2 linked regions of the Lepisosteus oculatus genome follow. The protein of the gene in region 2 interacts with the protein of the main gene of each other region in a biochemical or structural test. Links are inferred from orthologs where the notes say so. Each region holds a gene or a part of one and is shown on either strand. Other genes may lie near its edges. The genes, in order: actr3 and cttn.

What was found.
Region 1: the proteins of cttn (region 2) and actr3 form a complex in vitro, tested with the Homo sapiens proteins (3 studies listed by BioGRID). The link is inferred for Lepisosteus oculatus from reciprocal best matches to the Homo sapiens genes CTTN and ACTR3.

The regions. Positions count from the first base shown.
Region 1 is NC_090707.1:5,680,618-5,692,451, reverse strand, and holds the start of actr3 (actin-related protein 3), read right to left. Parts: upstream 5,066-11,834; 5' UTR 4,904-5,065; coding exon 4,860-4,903; intron 1-4,859. UniProt on the Homo sapiens protein: ATP-binding component of the Arp2/3 complex, a multiprotein complex that mediates actin polymerization upon stimulation by nucleation-promoting factor (NPF).
Region 2 is NC_090716.1:5,752,563-5,764,645, reverse strand, and holds the start of cttn (src substrate cortactin), read right to left. Parts: upstream 4,351-12,083; 5' UTR 4,190-4,350; intron 2,815-4,189; exon of another isoform or gene 2,531-2,814; intron 2,380-2,530; coding exon 2,299-2,379; intron 1,884-2,298; coding exon 1,810-1,883; intron 1,579-1,809; coding exon 1,449-1,578; intron 1-1,448. Other genes in the region: liprin-alpha-1, read right to left, coding at 6,885-6,943, 7,478-7,643, 7,892-7,960, 8,360-8,535, 8,812-8,909, 9,308-9,483, 10,362-10,388.

The sequences.
Region 1 (11,834 bases), on a different chromosome or scaffold from region 2:
CACTTGTACTAAATCTGTTTCACAAAAACAACAGTTCATTACTGGGCACCAAACCTCATCACAGGAAGATTAAATCCCACTGGCCAGTAAAAATCCACATGCACACCAACACACAGCTGCGTTGGGGTATGCAAAAAAACACTAATAATTCCATAAATTTAATGTGTTAATTCTGGCACTCAACCCACAAAATTAAGTAAGGCCAGCCACTGTAATACCCTATATACGGTTAGTCAAAGTATACCAATTACTTTATAAAGGAAACACACACATTTTTAAAGAACATTATAAATGACTAAACCACTTGTAATGCATTATACAGCTGTGTACAGCAATCCAGATGTATTCCAGATGTGGATTTGACTGCCTTCATTGTCTTTGATGTGCATGGAGACTGTTTTTCACTTGGACCAAAAAAACCTGGAGGAATGTTACTTGTGACTGTCACTTTGTGAATAACAAGCCTTCAGTAAACTAGAAACCCTTCATTTATATACTGCATATCTACCTACTTATAAACGAAAAATATTTTAAGTACTGGAGATTTTTTTTTCCATTCCCTTTTCTAGTCTGTCCACACTTGTTCTTTTATTACACATTCATCTCATTAATCATGGTACTGTGTTTTAAAAAATCACTAGAAAAAACAAAAGCTTATGTGGAGGAAAATGTGAAAAGGACACATACAAAAATTAGATCACAAAAAATAATTACTGAAGACAAAGAACAGAAGAAAAGAACTGTTTAAAAGAAGTTTATTTTTTAAATATCAAATTTGCTGAATGTCTTGATAACGTTTTTTTTTTATCGAATGTTGACAATTTTATCCGCAGACTTTTCCTTAACAGATTACTGTTCCCCCTCCTGCACATGGGAGGAGTAAAACGACATTCCAGACTGAAATCTGGATCTGTCTGGAACAGTTGCCTGCTTAGTTGACCTGTTAAAACAAGTCTCCAGGAATTTTAGAATGCATCCAAGAAGTATGTTGTGCTACAGGTAAATTATTCCCAGCATTTATAAAAAATACTACAACTATACTTAAAATGGAAATGGTGTTATTTTAGTTCTGTGCTTAAGGAACCACTGCTATTATTTATGCAGCTAAAATAGCTTCTAAAACAAGTTGCAGTACATTAAGGACATTAAAAAGATCTTTACTTTTACACTAAGGTGAGATGGTGTAATATGGCAAATTACTTTCTGGTCAAAGCAAAAAAAAAGATGGGACTTCTACGTCACAACAACATAAAACTAAAGCTATGGATTTCTTAAATGCATGTCTAAATGGACTTTCAGGGTTACAGACTTTTTTTTAGATAGCAATTCACAAGACAAGCACGATGCAGTTGTTGAGTATAATGCATACCGCCTTTACCGCATACCTTAATACCAGCACAATGGCTGACAGGATATTACTATCAATTATTTAGCTGAGGCTTTTATTTAAAAAAAATCCCAACTTATTTGCAACCATTTACAGAGTTGGGGATTTTACTGGAACAATCAAAATGAAGCAACTTGCTCAAAGGTACACCATCAGTCCAAGCCCAGAAGACTAACCACTGCTCCACACTGCTCCTCTAAGGATTCAGTCTTCTCTTACTACCACAAGTTGATGTGCTTTACATTTCTATAGTACACACCTAAAAATGCAAAACATGAGGACATATCATACTCTTGTCCTAGCCTGACATTTCCATGCCATACATTATCATCATTCAATCACAAACCTGCAAACCAGGCTAAAGGCCCAACAGCAGGTTTCAGGTTTGATACTGACCGGTGTAGTCTGGATAGAGCTGTTAAAAAAAACTACATTATGAACAAGCAATATGTTAAAAATAATTGCTCCATCCAAACCACTTTCAGAAATATATTCTCGTTTATATTTATAGATTGATATGATCATTATTACGGAACAGGTAGTGGGCTTATTATACGCTGAAAAGAAAAGAAAATGTTTTGGCTGTGGACCCTTGTTCAAGTGTGGAAGAAGGCTCCACACCTGAAGAAGGCTCCACAGCCGAAACGTTCTGTTTCCTGTCTTTTCAGCGTGGAATAAACCCACTACCTGTTCCTTTGTAGCCTCCGCATGCCGACGCAGCAACCTGTTATAACTACCTTTCATCAATGTTATTATTAATAATTTAATTTAGATTAATAATTCAATCTTATTCTGATTTAAATTAGATTTTAAATAAGAAAAGAACGTTTGTCTCGCAAAGTATGACAGACACTTGTGGCCGAAGCAACCGTGCTACAAAAAAAATCTCACCTTTTCATTCATGTCTATTTTCTACAATTCGTTGTTATTTGCAGATACAGATTTTTTTCATACAAGATTCATTCTGTTTAGTGGCTTGTATGTATAAATAGTAAGGCTGCATTTTAATTCTTACATAGAAAATTGGAAAAAAAAGTATGCATATCGGGAATGAAAGGTTCAAGACTGTACTAGTCACAGACTTACTGAGTGATTTATAGAAGCGTAGAAGTATGACACACTGAGCAGAAACATTATTTTTGTCTTATAACAACAGGCCAACTACTCAAGATTCACTCACAGACCCTTGGTATAATACTCCTAAATTTAAGAACTCTGCTAAACGTAATAATATGACTATAGTGCAATCTTAACCATGGAAAAATTGCAAACCACATTTTTTCCCACATTGCTCTCTGGACATGTCAACAGTGACTTCACAACAAGGCAAAGGACAACCCAAAGCATCCCTATCAGGTTATTCTGCAACCCAAAGGTACCAAAAGCTTTTAAGTTCAAAGAATACAAGACACTCCTTGCAGTATCCTCCCTCAGTTGATCACATCTAAGTTATTAATGAAGCTCAAGATGCTCCAAGTAAAAATAATGACTGGTCGCAAATAAATATCCACATTTACAGCACAGAATTGCTAGAGAACCACACAAACTAAACAGAAGTCAGGTGGAGTTCACCCCATATTATGGTTGATCCCTGTACTTGGAACAATTTCAACTGGTCAAATGATTTTACTGAAGGTGCAAAAAAGGTGAACATCAGAGACACAGACAGGGGCCTTACCATAACTTAAAGTACATAGTGCATGAAGGACCAGCATTATTCTGGACCACCCCCCCAAAAAAAAAATATTCTATAGATTAAAAAAACCCGGACAATAAATTGATCATCTCCCCTCTCTACAACGTTCACACTCGTTGGTCTTCAGCGGGTGACGTCACAGCTGCGGTTTCCTTTTTCTTAACAATAGCAGAACCAGAGCTGTGCACTTGCAGAAGAGCAGGAACTGAATTTCTGGCAGCTGGGGACAGACTTCTTTTTTTTTTTTTTTAAGGTGTAGAAAATACTGAACCTCTTATTAGTCATATTTTATCGGCGATCTGTCACACGGCCAAACGTAGTGTAATCATTAACAGCAGGAATTTTATGTGCCATAGATACAGCTCTCAGTTGTATTATGTAAACATAAAATCCAGTGAATACCGCACTGGAAGAACATCCCAGCCCTGTCACTTCAATTCCCATGTTTCAACTCATTTCCACAGCTACGCCCTTCCCGAAAGTTTTACTTAACACGGTTACAGAAACATTTCTTTCAAAATGCATACAGGCAGCAATTTTGCCTTAGCAAAACATGCTGTTCGTTTTTCATCAACCTGAAAATTGGCCGGACGAGACGTTTTTCCTCATTCCTGCCAAAGCGGTCCATCTGTTCATCAGTCACAGATACCGCGCTGCAACACAGCCTCAACCCAAACCAAACGCTGCACAGAACAGGAACTAGACAAAACCTAATACATACAGTCAGCGTGAAGAATAATTAAAAAACCCGCGTCCCTGGAGATCTGATTTCATCTCCTCCCTAGATAGGTGTAAAAAAAAAGTGCAATTTACATGCTTTATAATGTTGACGTTTACCGTATGTCGTATACAACTTTCTTTTGCTATTTAGTTGACAGCAAACGGAAGTTCGAGCCAAATGCATCTTACTTGAAAAATTAAGACGCAAAAGCTTAAGAGAACAATTCAACACACACGAGGAAGTAAGGAGGGAGTTGCAAAAACCACGAAGTTACCTCTACGGTGGCTCCAAAAGCTAACGAGTCATGTAAAACAGTTGTGTTAGCATATGGGCAGCGGCATTCCCATTGCTCTCAAGAAACGTTAAAAACGGGGTAAACTCGGCATATCTTTTGCAGAATATTGTTACAAGTGCGGTTTCCCAAAACACTAAATTTGAAGCCGAAGAAAGACCATATAAGGTATAAAAATCGTAAATCAGGAAGAGGTTTTGACACAACTAGGAAGTCCTTCTGCGCCTGCTCAAAAACCAAGGGGTTTCATTCCGACAGCCATCTAAAGCACGGAAAAAAAAGGGGATTCAAAACATGTTCACACCACAGTTTAATCCCTGTCGCTGCCATTTTAAAACACCCCTTTTAGGAACCTGAAATCGGGAAGGGCTCGGTGCTCGCCCGGACAGAGAAACACTTCTTTGCTTGAGTTTTGGGTGGACCCGTTCAATGAAGCCACTCAGACAGGAAGAAGATGATTTTCTGATGATGAAAGCAAATAGCTCCTTGCGGCTATTATGTAGCAGCCTAATTATACTTTTTTTTTCCCTCTCGCAAAGATAAGACTAGGGAATCTATCTGCGATAAAGCCTACAAGGTCCCGTCTTGCCCCCCCCAAAAAATGCAAAAGGGCCACATTTTTACAACCGGGAGATGAATTAAGCATTGTGCTGGCTCAAACACACACACACACACCCAATACAGAACTGACTGAAAAGGCAATATGACTCTACCATCTCACCTCCGCTTCCCTGTGCTTGGTATTCAATTGAATTTTTCTTACCCGGTACCACAGTCCACTACACAAGCCGGTAACCGTCCTGCCATCTCTTCCGCTCCTGTCGGCCGGGGTTAAAGATGCGTATTTGGAGGGGGAAAAAAGTGTCTGTGCCGGGGCTGAATGAGAGGTGCTATCTGACCATCCAGAGGCGGAACCCTGAACCCTCACAGTGAAGTTTCTACTTCCGCACTCAGCAGAGGAGAAGCAAGATGGCTGAAACCACAGGCAGCTACACGGGCAGGGCTAGCGATCTGTCAATCACGGGGCAGAGAAATATAAAACCTACTTCCACACCGTTTTAATTTCATTTTCCTGAAAACAAAATTCTACCCCCCCCCCCCCCCCCCAGAAAAAAATCAGCCGGAGGGGATATCCGTGGTTTGGTACTCTACTTTGTACTGGAAACAGTTAATAGAGCTAAAAAATACATCTCCAACCAGTAACGTTGAGGTGTTTTTTTTTTCATAGATAATTCTCACCAAGGCCGTTTTGAACGCGTTATTGTTCGCACGGGTGGTCCTGCCTTTGCTCAAAACGCGTAGCCCTTACCAAAGGATAAAGCTGGATTGTATCAGACTGCCTATATACTGTACGCGCCTGGTAACTCCATTATTAAATGTGAACACTGTAGTGTCAAAATCCTGTAGTCTGCCATGCTAGAGAGCTGATTAGTATACTGTATTAATATTACAGTACACTTAGTTGTACTGTCATTGGCACAGTTAACCCAATTAACCTCATTAGAAGCAATAGTAAAAGACTAACCTGAGGTTACATGTGGAAATTATATGGAACTGCAATTAAAACAGAGAACAGGAGACACTTTTTAACACAAAGGGCTGTGTGTGTCTGGCTAGAACATGCTACCCAATAATGTTCAGGAAACAGCTGGATGAAAGCCTCAAATCAATTAGCTATCAGTAACCAAGATGGGCAGAATGGCCTCCTGTCATTTGTAACCTTTCAAATGAAGGTTGTTATATTAAAGACCCTTGTCTACCATTTGCTGACCATTAAAAAGGTTTTCCCCCAACATTAGATAAAACCTACGTCACTGTTCAATCACTCTACCGACATGTAATTGCTCTGAAAATATTTTAAAGGATGTTATATTGCAGACGAAATAGAACGTGATCATAGTAAAACCATTTTAACATTTTTTAATTTGGTCTGAGCAAAGAAACCAACAGTGGGAAGGTCTCGTGTGTCAGTCCTAAATGCGTCCTACCTAACCATAATGATTGCTCATCTAAATCTGGACAGTGTTGTCACCTTTCCAATAGTAATGTATAACCTTAAGTGAGAGAGACTGTATGATATGCATGATCAGATCCTTTTGCATTTTGCATTACTCTACTAGAAATCTATTTAAAAGTGTCTGATCTTCAATTGCATAAAGTGCAAACACTCTCAAGCTTTTACTTTTTCTTCCTGATCAGATGAAAAATGAACTGTTTTAGTGATATCAAAAATGTAAGTTTTTAAAAAACTGTTTTATAAAAGGTGTTTAAAAAACTCAACTACAAAGAGATTGTATATCACTTTAGTGATACGATGTTGAGAATATGTCAGAAAAATGATAGATCACCATCACTGCATTTAGCATTTGTGAGCATTTAGGTAGGATTTTGCTGTTAGAATCACCTTTGATAGTAGAAGGAAGAAAATATAGCTGTTATAAAGCTTCTGCTAATGAACTGTTGCTCTGACTTCTTAGTTGGTAAATCTTGTCAGCCATCGTGTTTTTACATTGAGGGTGTACTGTCAAACGAATTTCCCCAAATAGGACAAGAAAGCTAGAATTTAACTGAATTTAAATAATAGCGTGTTTTATAGTTCTTCAACAAAAAATAAGAATAATTTTAAAAGGTAAAGATTATTCTACATAAACTGGAATAGTAATACACATTTAAATTGACCAAATAGATATATATAGTTAATTGACCAGACTTTAGAAAACATATGTTGAACCATAACCACAGAAAAGCCACATACTGTAAGTTAGGGGTTCAAGTAGCATTTCAACCTTATTTTTTAAATCGGTTGAAATCTGTTGGTCTCTCTTCTAGATCTTCAAATTCTGTGTTACAATATAAACTGAGGATCAAGGGGAACAGACAAACTATTTTGGCAGCATATGTAATGAGCAGCCGTGACAGAGTTAGATTGATTATGTGGATTATTGTTTGTCATCAACAGGGGGTCTACAGTGAAAGCCACAGGTTAGTGTCTTATGTGGCCACCATTGGAAGCAACACAAGCTGCACAACTGGAATTCATGCTCTGCACCAGGTTGCACACGTGTTGCTATTCCAGCTGTAAAGCCTGTTCAATGGTTTCTGTGCCTTGAATCCCACACACATCCCACAAATCATTGTCAGTCATTTTTGAGTGAAATTACTGGCTTTCTCAATACCTGATTGGTTTTATTTTTAAAATATACTACACCGTGACTGGAAAAAGGTAGGCTCCAGTGCTTTTATCAGCAATACGCAGGTAGAAGTCAAGTTCAATAGCACTACAATCCATCATCTTTTGAATTCTCTTCTGTGAAAAATGAGAGACTGGGAACGTGATGTATTATCCAGTTAACCACAAAGACCCCATTCACAAAAGTCATCCGTCTCGTACATGATCTAGTTTCGCTGTAAATACACGTGCCAGGTTCCGTTCATTTCTGGGTAATGTAGTTTTCTGTCCTGTAAGCGCCATTGTTCGGTACGAACATTGAACTGGAAAGAAAACTACATTTTCCAACGTCGCTCAAAATGACGTCAGACGTAGACGATAACTACAGTCACCTGAGCAGGAAGCAACGCAGAGGTTTTGGATGTTGTCAATGTTTACTAGTTGGGGTTTGGAAGTGTTCCTCCTTAAGAAACAGGTAACTGTAGTGATTATTACAAAGCGTTGCATTTGATTAGTTAGGTGTATTTCTACAGAGAAAAATATAACTATCTTGTTAGTTCTCAAGATATGTCAATATCTACACGGGGCAGGTATTACATTGAGCTAAGTGTCCAATTACAGCCTGAAATTGCTTGCCTGACGTTTTGTGAATGACACTCGTGCATAAAATTTAAAGCCAAAATGGACTACAAGCATTTGATTTATGAATTGTAATAATTTCGTTTTACATCTGAACCCTGTTTTGAGGTCACTCGTGCAATTTATTCGATTTTTTATGAAGACCTGAAAATGTCAAGTTGGGAACATAATAGACCGAAATAGCTTTTGGTGAGGACTTATTTCCCTTCTCGTTGATGCAGAACAGTGCGCTATTTCAGTGTGAGTGAAAACTATGCAAATCGTGTCTCCGGACAGATTTTTCGGGCCATCACTCGGTGAAGCAAAGACAAGTTAAAATCATAGTCTGGCATTAAAATCACACTCTCCTAATTTAAAATGACCACGTATAGCGCTTTGACTTGTGTGACACTGAGTTTTCCCACAAGCGAAGTGGGAAGCCGGCGTCTTGGAGGGATTGCGTGGACTGTCGTGTCCAGTGTTATGCGGGTTTATCATTTCATCGATGATCACGATCTTCAAGAGTATCTTTACTCTGATCTGCGGTACCGTCAGAGATTGACTGCATTTCCTTTGCGAAACTCGTGGTTCTCGCTGCGATGTGCAATGTCCAAGAAAGAGAATATCACTGTTGGAGTGCGAGATAACGGAAAATACTGTATATAACACTGTTAACATGCTAGAAGTATTGGTATTTTGGTTATTAAACTATTAACGTTTTACTTAAATTAATACTATCTTTAGAACACAAAATGACATTGTGTTGAACAGCGCAGTCTAGTGACCAGACTTTAAGCTATTTTATTAATAGTCTTATTCAATTTACAGTAAAATATTAACGTCAATAGAAGCTCTTGGATCGTCTAACAAGTGTATGCCGGTCATTACTACATTACAACATTGGCGGCAATTTAAATAGGATTCCTGCCACTTTCCCAGCTATGAATCTGCCTGGGTGTCTGAATTTCGCCCTGCTTCGGTGCCTGTGTCAAGATCACAGTTATGTGTTTGATTGGTTAATTGTGACCAAAAATAAACTCGCTGAATTCCAGGCGGAAGGCTTCCAAGAACCAGTTCTGCTTAGATAGCGCTCATTACTAGTCTGTTGCCTTCCAGCTAACCGAGCGAAAACAGAGCTCTCTGGTGTCAGATGCTAAATAAAATATTCATGTTTAGTGGTCAATGCATTCTGGGCTCTGTTGGGCTTCTTAACTGCTTTATTGTTCCATTTAAAAAAAAATACCCTATCTTCTTGGTTTGTATTATTCATTTCTGCATGAGATATGCATGTGTATTTTACGACGCATACAGTAGCATTTCAAATTAAAATGCACTGATTCATACATAATATAAATAATGCACATCATTTTGGTTTGCTTTTCTACAATAATGTTTGTTTTGTGTTGCAAATTTAAGGCATCACTAGGCACTATTTGCTTTTATGATATCTTTAGTACCAATTCTAACCTCAGTGCAGTTTGTACGTATCTGTAAATGAAATCAACGGCGTCCTTTTTCTTAGACTGATGAAAAGTTACATGAAGTGACTTTTCTTTTAAGTTTTTCTTGCAGCAGCATTTCAGCATTGTAAATGTAGGATATATATTGAGGTTTGGGGAGTACATGAGGTACGCACATGAATCGAGAATGCACTGGGGACGAGGAAATTATGTGTCATCTGAAGGGGCATAACCCCTAACTGGCAGACCTAAGCAGTGGTTTACTGCAGACATCTGTTTTAGGCCCTCTACTTTTCCTGATCTACAGTATATCAGCAATCTAGATTCTGCCATAGTTAGAAAACAATTTACTTTTTAGAGGAACACAAGGTATACTAAAAAAGTGGAAAGGGATGGAAATTATAGATTTGGCATTCGGTTGACTAATGAAATGTAATGTTGTGATACATAAGATGTATAATTATCATACAGTTTGCATATAATTGAATTGCAGGAATCTATGCATTAAAATGATCTGGTTGTTTATGCAGATTCTGCTGTGTTCTACAAGACAATGTAGGCAAGCAATAATTAAATCTAATGCCCGTGTAGTGTACATAGCAAATGATTTGGAATTTAAATCAAGTTAGACTTCAATTTTACAATGCCCTAGTAAAGCCTCATTTAGAACATTGTATTTAGTTTTGGTTACCATACAACAAAAATGATATTATAGCCTTTGAAAAAATGCAAAGAACAGCACCAAGAATTATTCCTGGTCTTAGAAGGCAGGGGAGCTACATTTCAGTCAAGAAGAAATGCGATTGAAAAGAGTTCTGATCCAATTGTGTAAATGTTTAAGGAGAGCAGGTAGGATCAACACAGAGGGGTTAGTTCATGCTAAGTAGTTAGAAAGGGAATTTAATTTGGAAGGAAAATAAGAAAATGAGTTGTGTTAAATGAGTTTAACAGAATTCCCAGCCAGGTGGTTAAGAAATAGCTATTTCAAGAAATAGCTCAAGGAACTTTGAGATTAACATAGCTACTAAACAAGCAACATGGGCCTAATGGTCTCCTGTTGTTTGCAAGCTATCCGATGTACTTAAGGAAAGAGAGCCATGGTTTTTATTCCATTAAATTAGAAAATATTTTGAGACATTTTTGGGGTAACCTCCATTCTAATGCATCGACATGGATAACATCAGACATGAGTGCTTCCTTCAGTGATATGACTTAATGGATGAATTGGGGCCATGCCAGCGGTATTAATATAGCTGTAGTTTTTGAAAGCAGCAGTGGAGATAAAGGGATACCAGTAGAATAAAAGCTTGCCTGGCTCTTCACATAAGGTTGAGTAGAGCTTTGAAATATACACTGATGAAATGCTAGAAAAAATTACAGAGAGTGTTCATTCTTTGGATTGTGTTTTCGCTTCTGCCCAGGATAAGTGACTGTGATGCACAAAGTCATCTACATGCTCACCTTCATCTTTCACACACTGACTGCTGGCTGAGACTGAGACTGAGAGGAAGCCAGAAGAGAGTGCAGTACCTGTTTGTCTTACCACGGAATGTAAGCCAATACATTTCAGGTTTCTGGCTGTATTTTACCTAGAACATAAAAAATTCTTTTAGTGGTCATTGGAACTTTATGGGCTCTTTCTATTGTTAAAAAAAAAGAATAAAGTAGGTTACAAAACCATGTAGTAGTTTTTTTTAATCAAGAATAACAAGTGTCTGCAAACATATTTTTAGTGTTTTTAGTTTACCCTTTCTAATAAAGGAGGTTATCTTATTGGGTGTTATTGGCATTTTGTGAACCTTACATGAAAATGTGTTATAATATAATGAGGTCAAGTTGTTGTCGACATGCATAGGGTAAGGCATTTTGAATAATTCTGCAAAACATTTTGGTTCTTTGAAGAGAATTCATTAATTCCAGATACTGTTACTGAGCAAAGGATATTGTTGCCTAAAATGCAAAAGCAAATATGCTCGTAAAATAATTTTAACAAGTAACCAATTAAGAACACTTTATGGTCTGTTATATTATTTGTCAAAATCCTTTTGCTGTATATAACCTGTCGTAGAACGTATTGCGATGCAATTGTAGGTTTGAACACTGTTTCTGCATACACTACCTTGTCTAACTTTCTTAGTTAACTGTACCAATACACAACACAGTTCAACTAATTAATGCAGTGTTTGACTGAAAAAAGACCGCATGCTTCATTTTGTAGATATACAGCAGTCCATATTTGAAGTGTAAAACAAAAATTAAGGATGTTTTTAAAATAAGACGTTCTTAGATCACTTGTGCCAGTTGTTTCCTCAATCAGTAACAAATTGAGGAAACATTTTTTTTTTAGTTTTCTGTGGTCTGTAAGTTTTTTAATAATAATTTTTGTGCTGTATGTTATTTTCTCACATTTTTAAAATCCTGAATATACATTTCATTTATATTTAAAGGAGTCTGTTGGATGATGGTGGATGTACTCTGTGTATTACGTACC
Region 2 (12,083 bases):
GTTTACTTGGACATTTAAAATTCTGAATCCATACTGGTGATAAAAAAAATGACTTGCTAAAACTAAGCTTGCTTGAAGTGCCCAGGTATGATTGCGATGCACACCAAAGTCCAGATCACTGTTTTATTTAACATATGCTTTCATTGTCCCCAAGTTCAGGAGAATTCTAACAATGGAGCAGAATCAAGCTCCGAGATCAGCAGCCATTTTAAACTTTCTGACTTTTTCTGGAAGCTAGCTGATAAGCTGATAACCTTGTTTTTCAACAGGAGGAAGGACAAACAAATCAGAAGTCCAGGATTGCTTTTCTCTGTTGTCCTGAATATCCCTTTGAAAGTACAAGACGACAAGGTGTTCACTACCTTTCACCTCGAGAGTACAAGAGCAGAGAACTTAAACCAGAATATTAGTTGTAATTGCTTATACTGCTAATTTAACTTTTCTATTCACATTATAGGCATTTTCATATTTACTGTTCCAGGAATATCATCACTTGCTGTGAACTGTGAATGCTTACAGCTCCGATCTCCTGAGTCCATTCTGATACATTTTCGAACAAACCCGTTTCCATTAGGGCAGATCAAATGGGTGAACCCATGTGGAAAAGAATGTCATACCACTTCTCACCATGCACATATTTCACAGTAAAGCCGTTGGATCATCAAATATTACCACTGTACAATACCCACAATGAAGAAAGGGATTTGTGTACCAGTTGCATACAGACAAGTGCAAATCGTTAGCTCATAGGAAAATCTTTTTTTCCCTGGCAGGCCTGGTGTTATCCCATTCACACATTAAAGCCAGAATGAGGAGTGTATGACTGGCTCACAATGTTACTGTTGGCATCGACTCCCTGGCCTACCGATCAGGTGGCAGGCACTGGCAGGCAGATTATTTCACCAGGAAATTGACAATTAAGGAACGCAGGGAGGGAGTTATGCACTGACGTTTGCCAGACAATTTAGAACATAATGGATTTCAAACAGCGACAGTTATCTTGCGTGCCAAAGCCAAGATCAGTAGTACAACTGAGAAGTTAGAAAAAAATGTATTTTGTGCTCCAACTCCTGCTCTGTCAGTGATGACCAGCAAATATATATACACACTTTTACCTGCAGTTTAAAAAAAAAACTTTTTGCAGTTGAAAAGCATATGTGCCACATATGTCACTTGGGACCAGAGTATTTTTTATTGCTAAAGACAAATAGTCTGTAATTTACAGGTTTAAATATACTACTACAATATATAGAAATGAAACAAGTGTCACATGGCCTGTGAGCACACTGTATTTAAACCTCGGTAACACACTTTGCTCTGACCACTCATAATTCAAACGAATGTTGATTCAAACGTGTCCAAAATATCATCACTAATACACAGAATTGCTTTTAATTTAACAGATTTCAGTGTAAAAGAAAAAATGTATGACATTTCATCTCCAGTACCTTATCCATTCGATCCTGCTGGACTCCAAATTTTCCACCGTAACCATGAGAAGCTTTAGGCATATTCTCCAGCTCCTGCTCCTTCAATTTGCAATGCTCCACTGAGACATTTTCACGCAGCTTATGAATGCTGCACAGAAGCAACAAAGAAAAAAAATAAACCACAAGTGGCAAAATACTATTTGAAACCATCAACTCATCACTGATACTCCAACTCCTTGTTCACCAAGCAAAACAAGAAAACTTCAGTTGCCCTACAGTATGTGCAAACCTAACATCCCATGCACGCAAATATTAAAACTGGAGCCACCATTATAACACAATCTAATACACATGGATCTGCTAGGAAAGAGCTGCTTACTTAATATGCTCCTGGTGTCCAGATCCCTCAACGGTCTTGGCTCCCCATCTTTGTTCCTTCTCAGATACATCATTCTAGTGGCAGCAAAGTAGGAAAAAAAGATACATTTCAAAACAAGTAGTCAACAAGCTACACCTTTTTATTATATCACTGACTTCCTACCTGCAGTTAGCTACTGTATAGTACAGAACATCCTTACCAGCCCAATGATAAGCTGTACAAATGATTCATGGAAATCCCATTACATGTAATTTTCATTACATGTAAACACTGAAGCATAATTTTCAAACACTTTATTCTGCCACAGCTTTCAGGCAAGCCACTGTTGTTTAATCAGACAATGTGGTGGGGGGAGGGAAGCTTTCTTCTTAATCTTACAAATGAGAAATGGGCTAGAAATTGTTTACAGCCACACCGTGTAAAACAGCAAATTTGTGATGTGTTCTCCAAGAGACATAAGAAGGACATAATGAAAAAATCACTCCTTACCACAAAGTCTGGATCAGTCTCCCAGTCATCTGAGCCATCATCAGTGATGGAAATAGATTTTCCGCCTGCAGCTTTCCACATCTAAGGAAGCAAAATGGAGGAGTTTAAGTACAATGGTTCCTGAACAAGTCACTACTATTTCTCATTTTAATCATTACAGTTGTTTATTTTTTGGACAACTGCATGTTCTGCTATACAAAAGGATAGGTTCATGCAAGATAAAAAAAAATACCTGGGCTGCAAACTGCTCTGCTAAAAAGTTTCAAATGAGACAGGAACTTCATTAAGGTGTTAAAACTACCAGGCTGAAATCTATACAGTTGTCCGGGTATCAGCTTCTACACAGACCATAAAAGAAACCGTGCAATTAATCACGATAAAACACTGAGAGATAATTGCAATGCTACAGGAACTGAAACTAGAAAAACAAAGTGCAGTGAAAAAGTTTTTACAAGATGGCCTGTCAAATTGATAATGGGAGCTGTACTCTACTTTCTCCAGCTGGAGCTGAACTGTCTTGAAATAAGCAGTTGAAAGAAGACGGACTAAATAGTTGAGTTGCTGTCAGTTGCAACATTTGAAACAATATCTATTAAGGCATATTTCTTCCCTAGGCCTGACTTGTGTAGGATGAAACTTTGCATTCCTCGGATGTCGTCCACAATGCAGGCAATCAAATAGCAACAAATAAAACGTCAGTCAAGATGGGGATTTCTGAGCCCTGCTGCGTCTGGCCCAACTCTATAACTATCCCATAATACAGACTGTACAGTCTGACTCAGCCGCACACAGGCATCTGCGGTGTAGCAATGGAAAAAGTTGGGTTTGCATTCCAGATTTAAAAGAAAAGTTCGCATATGCCTCCTGCAAATTCAGCGCAAAACGTGGATTTGAAACATATTGACGGGGAGGGGTGACTGAACCCCTTAGCCTAGCCTGTATCTGTGTCTCCCTCTGGTGTTGAAGTATAAAGTTGAAGTGCAGTTATTTGCAATCTTAGGTATTTCACAGCACAAATACCTTCCGTGCAGTTACAGCTGCCCTTCAGCACCACACCCAGATCACAACTTGTGCTGCTATATCCCCTTCCCGTGACAAGTTTAAGGGACGTCTCCACTGAAAACTCGACTATTTTATCATACGTGTTTAACTGCAAACCCCTCGAACAATAGACGACACAGCTCCATTTTCACTATAGTAACCTCGCATGGGGATTATAAAGTGGAAATGCTATTTTAAATATACTTCCCCAATGAAACAGTTAAGAAGAAATTATAAAAAGGGATGTGTGAGGGGTCTTCGTTATGAATATACCTTTTTACAAGAATCGAAACTTTTGAGCCACATTATTTTGACCAATATTAGAGACTGGGGCACTGTTTCATTTAGAAGGATAATTGCTGCATAAACACAGACTAGGCCAGCACATCTGAACCAAAGCAAACCTGAACAGGAATGCAAATCCGACTAACATGCAAAGCATGCTCACCTTTAACAATCTTTTTACAGAGGGATGCGTTCCGATGAAACTACTTTAGATAACCCAACGTCCACCACAAGACGAAATTCTCTTCCTGCGTTAGCCCTTTCTTTCAAGCCACTGAGTCATCCATCGAACGGGACACTCTTAGCACACATTTTTAATAGATCATTAAAGGAGATAAAATGTTTGCCCGTGGCTACCGAGTAAATAAATTCAATGTATAATAACTACTAAATATGTTCTGCACTGCATCATTTCCTGCTCCATATCTCAAGACTGATCTCAGCCTCTATGATTTATGTGTTCCTGCTTGCGAGTCTGCATTGATATCGTGCCCCCCGACACCTAATGAGGCGACGTCGGAATCTGTTCTACCTGTACTGGGGTACCGCTGTCACGTTGACTTACTTTGTCCGAATGTTTCTTCTCGCACAAATTGTCGCCGAAGATAAAAAAAATAAACGCTTCTGAAGCTAACCCAAACCTCCGTAGTATTCCTGCTCCAACTCCCGATCCTTCCGGCTCTCCCAGAGCCCGACTTCCTGTTACGAGCTCAGCAGCACCACCTGGGAGCCGTGCCGGGAATGCGGAGAGGACAAGGCGAAACGCCAGCTGTAAGTACTAAAACTTCTAACGCCTCGAAAACTACGCCACCTGCACGTGTATTTAGATTTTCTAGGAGAGTAAATGCACGTTTTCGTGTTATACTGTGCCTTCGTCCACCGAAATGTTGTGTATGTTACAGCTTTATAAGGATGTAGTTCTCCTTTTAAAGTTAATGCAACCGTATTTAAAAACAAAAACTTATTAGCCTCTGTTGGCATTGTGCAATTTTTTTCTTGATTAACATTAAAACAAAAAAAAACAAACCTTTTGTATTGCAAAAATTGTTACGATTTTATTAAGTTCAAAAGCATTTAAAGACCAGTTTTTTTTTAAAAAATGCAATTTTAATGAAATCCTTTGTAAAAAGAAATCGGATCAATTACTACTACATGCAACAATGATTTTTTTTAAACAAAGACACAGTCTTTTTTATTGGCAGTGGAAAATAAGTTTCAGTATTTTATTGAAAGTAAGCAATAAATAATACTGTGATAAAAATAGTTCAAAAGTAGTCAGACTGTACATATTTGTTACAAGGTCACGAAATTTGAAATGAGAAAACAAAACGAAGAACATGAGGGTAACATGATTTGTGTTTTACGTACGTCTTATCAAACAGACAAGGTAAAATAAATCAGTACATTAAAAACATTTTAATGAGTCTGTCGATTTCCCAACATTATGAGTATATAAATACTGAGAAACCTGGTGTTCAATGACAAGTGAATACACATTCAGAAACACTTCAGCCATGGATACGATCCAAGGAAATGACAACCGTTATACAAAGTGACAAAAAAAGTAAAAACAAAAATAAGGCTTAAAGTCATCGTACAATGCATTAGAAGGTTATGAAAATTGTGCCACCTTCTACTGACTTCCCACTTGAAATGAGACCACAGTGATCAGGCATTGGTCCATGATGAATGAAACGTGTTGCATCAGCTTCTTTTAAGCTTTTAATGAAGAAGAGAGAGGAATGGAAAGTTTCAGCATCCGTGGCTGGTAGAGTATTTCTACTTGAAAGGACCTTATAGCCAAACAACGCATCTATAAGTGATTCTCTTCTTCATAGTTCTATGGCTTTTCCAAAGTACATTTTGGTATCACAGTAAATGATTTACAGAGATGCACAAATATACAAATATTGTGTGTGTGTGTGTGTGTGTGTGTTTTGGGGTGGTGGTCAAACCTCAATTATTTTTCACATTTTCCAGACCCTAATCTTCAGTCCTCCTGACATACCAAAGAGCGATCTAAAATGCTGAAGAGTTTTCACCAGTTTTTGAAATTCAGAAATTGAAATTGACCTAAAAGTTGCATTTAAAAGTTTAAATCAACCATTAAGAAAATGTGAAAAAAAGGACTTTTAGAAATGCACTCGTGTTAAAGTCACTTTAGCTTAAACCCCACATTTAAAATCAAAAACAAAAAAAGTCTGTGGTCAATGCACAAACAGGTATATATATATAAAAAATAAAGATTAGATAATGTCTGTAGATAAATATACAACCTTCAGACTCATGATACATTCAGTTACATCTGAAAGGATTTTACATTTGATAAGGGCACAACAGAATTTGAAGGAAAAAAGCAAAATGAATACAGACAATGATACAGTATTAGGTCTAAGTAAATGAAATATCCAATCAGTTTACATAAATATAAGAAACTTTAATTCTAAAATATTTTCTCTATGGTATTCAGGAAATTTGTGAATTCTCTAAACTCTGTAATAAAATATTTATAGTGTTCTTGTAAGAAGTAACAATGTCACAGATCTCATCTTGATTTCAGAAATGTAGTCTTCAATTGATTTAATGCTGTTTAATCATCGATAGAAATAGTGGGGATAAACTGCAAATAGAAAAAAGAACAAAGTCAGTGCAAATTATGGGTAATCGGTAGATAATTAACATTGTGTCAGCTACATAGAAGAACTCAAGCCTTCTGCTATGGACAGTCCATGTCATGAAACTTGTTCTATTTCTGCACACCTCAGAAAAATTCAAATGTAATCAGATGTAATATTAAGACTAATTCTTTCTCCTATGTAAGAAAAACTACTTAACACACAGAAAAGCAAATTCAAAAGTCTTCATTTGTGAGCAGATAGCCAACTGTAAAATTCTGGTTACCTTGAAAACAAAGGATTTACTTAATTGACAAGAAGATTACATTTTCTATAGGAAAGAAAAACTGGAACCAAATTCCTGATAAATGACCTACATTTAAGGTGACTTTATATCTATTAAATCAGGAAACCACTGACATCATTTAGTCTAAATTCCCCAGTTTTCATACAGACAAGTGAACACTTAGTCAATCCTTATGAAGTAACTTTTTCCAAACAGTAATGATTTGTTTTAATGTTGTACTTGTGGAGTTACTAAATAGTAATCAATAGGAATAATGTCCACGAACCACAAGCTCTTCCAGTTAAATGACTTATGATCATGTATGGTGACATGACATTGGAACTCACCAAGAGAGGGTGTTAACACGAGTAGGTCCTTACTGTGGCAGAATCCAATCTTTGAGCTCCTGATATACTGCCTGGTCCCAACCATCCAGAGACAAGGTGCAATACAACATGCAGTTAGTCAAATCCAAAAATGTTAGCAAACAAAGCAAAGCAGAATCTAATAACAAACAGCTGGTCTTTTCAGATGGCCATTTCACAGATTGCTAAGAGTACGTTTATATTTGTTCAATAAAACTAAAGGACACATACACTATTCAAACAATGTACACTAAAAAGAAAAAAAATACCTACGCTAAATATCCTGTATCTTATCAGAAAATCGGATTCAAAATGCTTTCTAGGAAAGTTCTCAATATCAAGTGCATGAGCTGCCTAAAAAGGAACATGCATTTTAGCACGGTCAGAAATTAAGATATTTCAATTGCTCTCTGCAGATTTCTTGTAAATGCAAAAGTGGTTATGGATTTCACTTTAAAAAAAAGTGAAGCATAAAAACTGCTGTAATTAATACTTTCATATCAATTCAGACAGATCAGCATATTTTTATAAAGCTGTTAGTCATGCAGTTGTCATGCCCATGAAATCAAAATATTTTGCTGTCATACCATCCATTTGCATTTTCTTTGGCTGCATAGATGGTGAGGACATTGTGTTTGTCACCCTGAAGTTTGCAGGAAGAGTCTCTGCCGACCCAGGGTTCATCCCCCTAACGTCTTTTGGACGAAACTTTTTCCTCCAGGATGGAGCCCTCCTAAAATTCTTGTCATCATCCTAGCCACACAAGGAAAGAACCACATTTCACCAAGTCAGACTACAGTCTGTTCAGCTGAAAATAAAACAGCTTAGACATTTTCATTTAAAAGCTTAAATTTATAATTTAGGGCATCACACTGGATTTTTTTATTTAAGTAGAGAAAAATAGCCCATTGATAGTAACATCCAGCAATAATTTATATTCAACATTGTGTTTTTTACAGGCAAAATTAACTTCAAAGAGCTGCATATTTAGTTTTTCTCACCTCATCCAGTCTTCTTTCTGTACCCAGGGCAAGAAGGTTATTATATTCTCTCTCTAGAATTGTTCTTGCCTAAGTGGAAAGAAACAAGCTAAGCTGTTGATGTAATATTCCTAACAATGAAACCTCCAAAAGTTAATAAGATGAAGACTATCAGTTGCATCCTATTACATGTGTCTGTAATGAAACACTCAAAAGGCACAAAGAAGGTAGAAATTAGATGTCTGTTAAGCATTCTTTTGGCTAAATACTATGTTTGAAATTCACATGCCTCTAAGAATTCCCTAGTTTAACAGGAATGTTTATCACAGTGGGTACTTGGCTAAGTACAGTCCAGATGAGCACTACAAAAGACTGGAGACAAAAGGGGAAATAGAAACTAATATGAAATATTAGTCAACCAACTGCAATGCAATGAAGGCATAACATGGAAATCACAAACTAAATGTTATACAAATGAAATAAGTGTACCTGTGTGTTCTGGGTGGGTATCTGTAACAACAGCGCTAAAGCATTGTGATCAAAAGTTTCATCTAAGGCAAGTAGTGCACCATGGACTCCACTCTCCAACAGGTTATTTGCATATTCCTTGAGACCGATGGACTGAACCCAGTTGACCACTCGGTCATTGCTCCATACCAGCACATCTGAAACAGCAGGCAAAGAGCTCTCGTGAAACCAAACCTCCCAATAAATATTGACATGAGAAGCTTTCACCCATTACAACAAATACTTCCAAGACCTGGCGGTGGACTACAGATTAGAAATATCTGACGGGTTTTATTGTGTGACAAACCATCCAAGTGCCACAGTTTGAAATACTTTTGATACAAGTGGTATGTGGTTGAATGACTTAAAACAGAATTTGCAAGTCACTGGGCAGCTGCAGATCTAGGATTAAGGTAGAAAATATCCATCATTACCTTTAAGTTCCACTTGGGATTCTTCTCTTCGTCTTTCAAGTTCTTTCCTATCATAATTTTGCCTTCGTAGGCACATTACCCCGCACTGGAAACTATTTCTGTTTTGGAAAGAAACCACAGAAACATTAAAATGACTTGCTACAGAAAAGTATTTGCTCAATTGTTTCAGATATATCCAAAGTTTCTTATTCCGTTTTATATTGACACCAGGGGGAGCTTGTAGTCTTTCATATCAACTCCTTAGATTAGTCTATACAGTGCACATTCATTTTTGATGGTCAGTGCATTTCTTAATTTCCCAATTAACAAAACCAAGCAATTGAGGTAATATTGTAACACAACTTTGTTTTTGTTTTTTAAATGTTCTATTTTGGACTGTAATTCACAGAATAATTACATTTCCAGCACTGTAAATTCATCATCCTAGTAAACTATTTGAAAAACTCCACCTGGTTTAAATGCTCATTCAATCCAAATCCACAATGCATCTCCTCACCTGTGAAAACTATCTACCATTTTTAGCTGGCCACGCAGATCCTTCTTTGTTAAGTGGTCAAGCATTCTAGCGTCAACAAGGCACTCCATGAAGTAGCTCCGATACTGAGGCAGTCCCAGGCTGGGAAGCCATTCATTGCCAATCCATTCGTGATTCATATCCCCATACGCTAGTGTCTACAAAAACAAGGTCTAGGGTGAATTCATTGTTTTAAAAAGATACTTAAATAACACTGTATGATTCTTTTTGCTAGCCATTCCAATATTTTGCATGTGGCCATGATATGCTTGAAACTACAAAACACTCTTTAATAATCTCAGAATTTTCTCAAAAACTGAAATAGTTTCGTAAGTATTCAGGGTTAAGGCTGTTATTCAGAATCAGATCCATGGCTCAGCAGCACATGCTGTTACGTCCTGACTACCTTTTCAGCAAATGTAAGAGGTGGGTTTTTTTTTTTACTTTTTTTCCCCCACAGATGTTCACTACGGAGTTCTTTATGGAGACTTTTCTTGCAGAAATACAGTAGGTAAAATGGTATGGTTTTTTCAAATATATCTTAAGATTTACGACCCTCATATGTCCCTGTTTTAGTGGATTGTGTGGCACATTCGCAGAAGTTTACAAATTAATCTATTCCATAAATGTGATCAAGATCAACAGGCCAGACATTTGCTTAATTTTAAAAGTACATCCTGGTATTAAATGATCAGGAAACTAGAATGGTACATCTTTGGTGCAAATCTTTAATGTGTCTAGTCATCCTAAGAGGCAACAGGAAGAAGTTCTAGATTCTTGTAAGTAGAAGTTTGGTAATTAACCAGCTCCAACTTCACTAGCTAGGATGCTGGATTTAATTGTAGTCATTAGTAGAAACGGATATATGACTTCGGACTTCCTACAAGTTATGGAAGACAAAGTTTTCATAAAAAGGGCAAGATTAGAAACCAGGGAACCGAGAGTAGGGAAGCTCCCTTCAATACCTTTCCTCCAAAATTAGTCATAATTTACAACATTTAGAAGTCTACAGCACATAGACAGAAAAATGGCAAACCTGGGCCCAGCTGCCCTCCTCATCCTCCTGTTAGCATTGTTAGAAGTGCAAAGAGAAAATTAAGAAGTGTTAGTAGATTGTCAGTGCTTAGTAAAAAAAAATCCATTGTGGTCAAGTAAAGAAAGGTGAAGTAGCCCCAGATCCCAGGACAAGAATAATTAAAAAATTAGTTGCAATTGTTTCTTCTTAGCATGTGCTACAGTTCTACAGTTTCCAGTCATCAACATAGAGATATTTCTGGATATGTCATTAGAAATATGTTAAAAGGTCTGACTTGCACACAAAATTTAAGGAACTCCTGAAATCACACTTTTATTATTCTATATTACTGAAAATATTAAAGACAAGTAGGGCACAATTTAACTACCATTTGAAAAGGAGAAGATTTCCTAGGCAAAGGAGAAATGGTCTCATGTTATATGCACACTAAGACAGCAGATATACAGTTGCAAGAAAAAGTTTGTGAACCCTTTGGAATTACCTGGATTTCTGCATTAATTACTCTTAAAACATGGTCTGATCTTCAACTAAATCAAAATAGACAAACACAATCTGCTTAAATTAATAACACAAACAATTCTACTTCTTGTCAATATTGAACATCGTTTAGACATTCACAGTCCAGGCTGGAAAAAGTATGTGAATCCTAGTATTCAGTAACTGGTAGAACCTCCTATAGCAGCAAATGTTTACTGTAGCTGCTGATGAGTCTTGCACAACAGGTAGGAGGAATGTTAGACCATTGATCCTTCCAAAACTGTTTCAGTTCGTTGATATTTCTGGGATTCCTTGCGTGAACAGTTCTCTTCAGGTCATGCAACATCTCAATTGGGTTGAGGTCTGGACTCTGACTTGGCCATTCCAGAACACAGATTTTCTTCTGTTTAAGCCATTCTGTTGCTGATTTACTCCTGTTTCGGGTCATTGTCTTGGTGCATCATCCAGCTTCTATTAATCTTCATGTGACGGACCACTACCCTGACATTCTCTTGAAAAAGTTCTTGATACAATTTGAATTAATTGTTACCTCTATGATAGCAAGCTGCCCCAAACCATGATGCTCCCTTCAACATTTGGATGAGGACTTGGTGTTGGTGCGCAGTGCTTTTTTTTTCTCCAAACATAGCGTTGCGTGTTTCTGCCAAAGAGTTCAACTTTTGTCTCATCCGTCCACATAACACTGTCCCAGAAGTCTTGTGGAACATTAAAGGTGGTCTTTTGCAAACTTGAGACATGTAGCAATGTTTATTTTTTGAGAGCAGTGGTTTCCTCCGTGGTGTCCTTCCATTAACACCATTCTTGTGGCCACTATAAGAAAAACACCGAACATGAACAGAGACTTTGGCAAGTCCAAGAGATTCCTGCAGGTCCTTTGCTGTTACCCTAGGGTTTTTTTTCACTTCCTTCAGCATTGTACGCTGTGCTCTTGCCGTGATCTTTGCAGGATGCCCACTCCTAGGGAAAGTGGGAACAGTACTGAATTTCCTCCATTTGTAGACAATTTGTCTTACTGTGGATTGATGAACACCCAGGCCTTTGGAAATGCTTTTGTAGCCTTTTCCAGCTTTATGCATCTCTACCCTAAGGTCCTCTGATATTTCTTTTGATTGGGGCATGGTTCAAATAAACAACTCTTTCTTGAGAAGAGCACACTCTGTCAGTAACCAACCTGTGTGTGCCTTTTTTATAGGACAGGGCACCTCCAACCCACACCTCCAATCT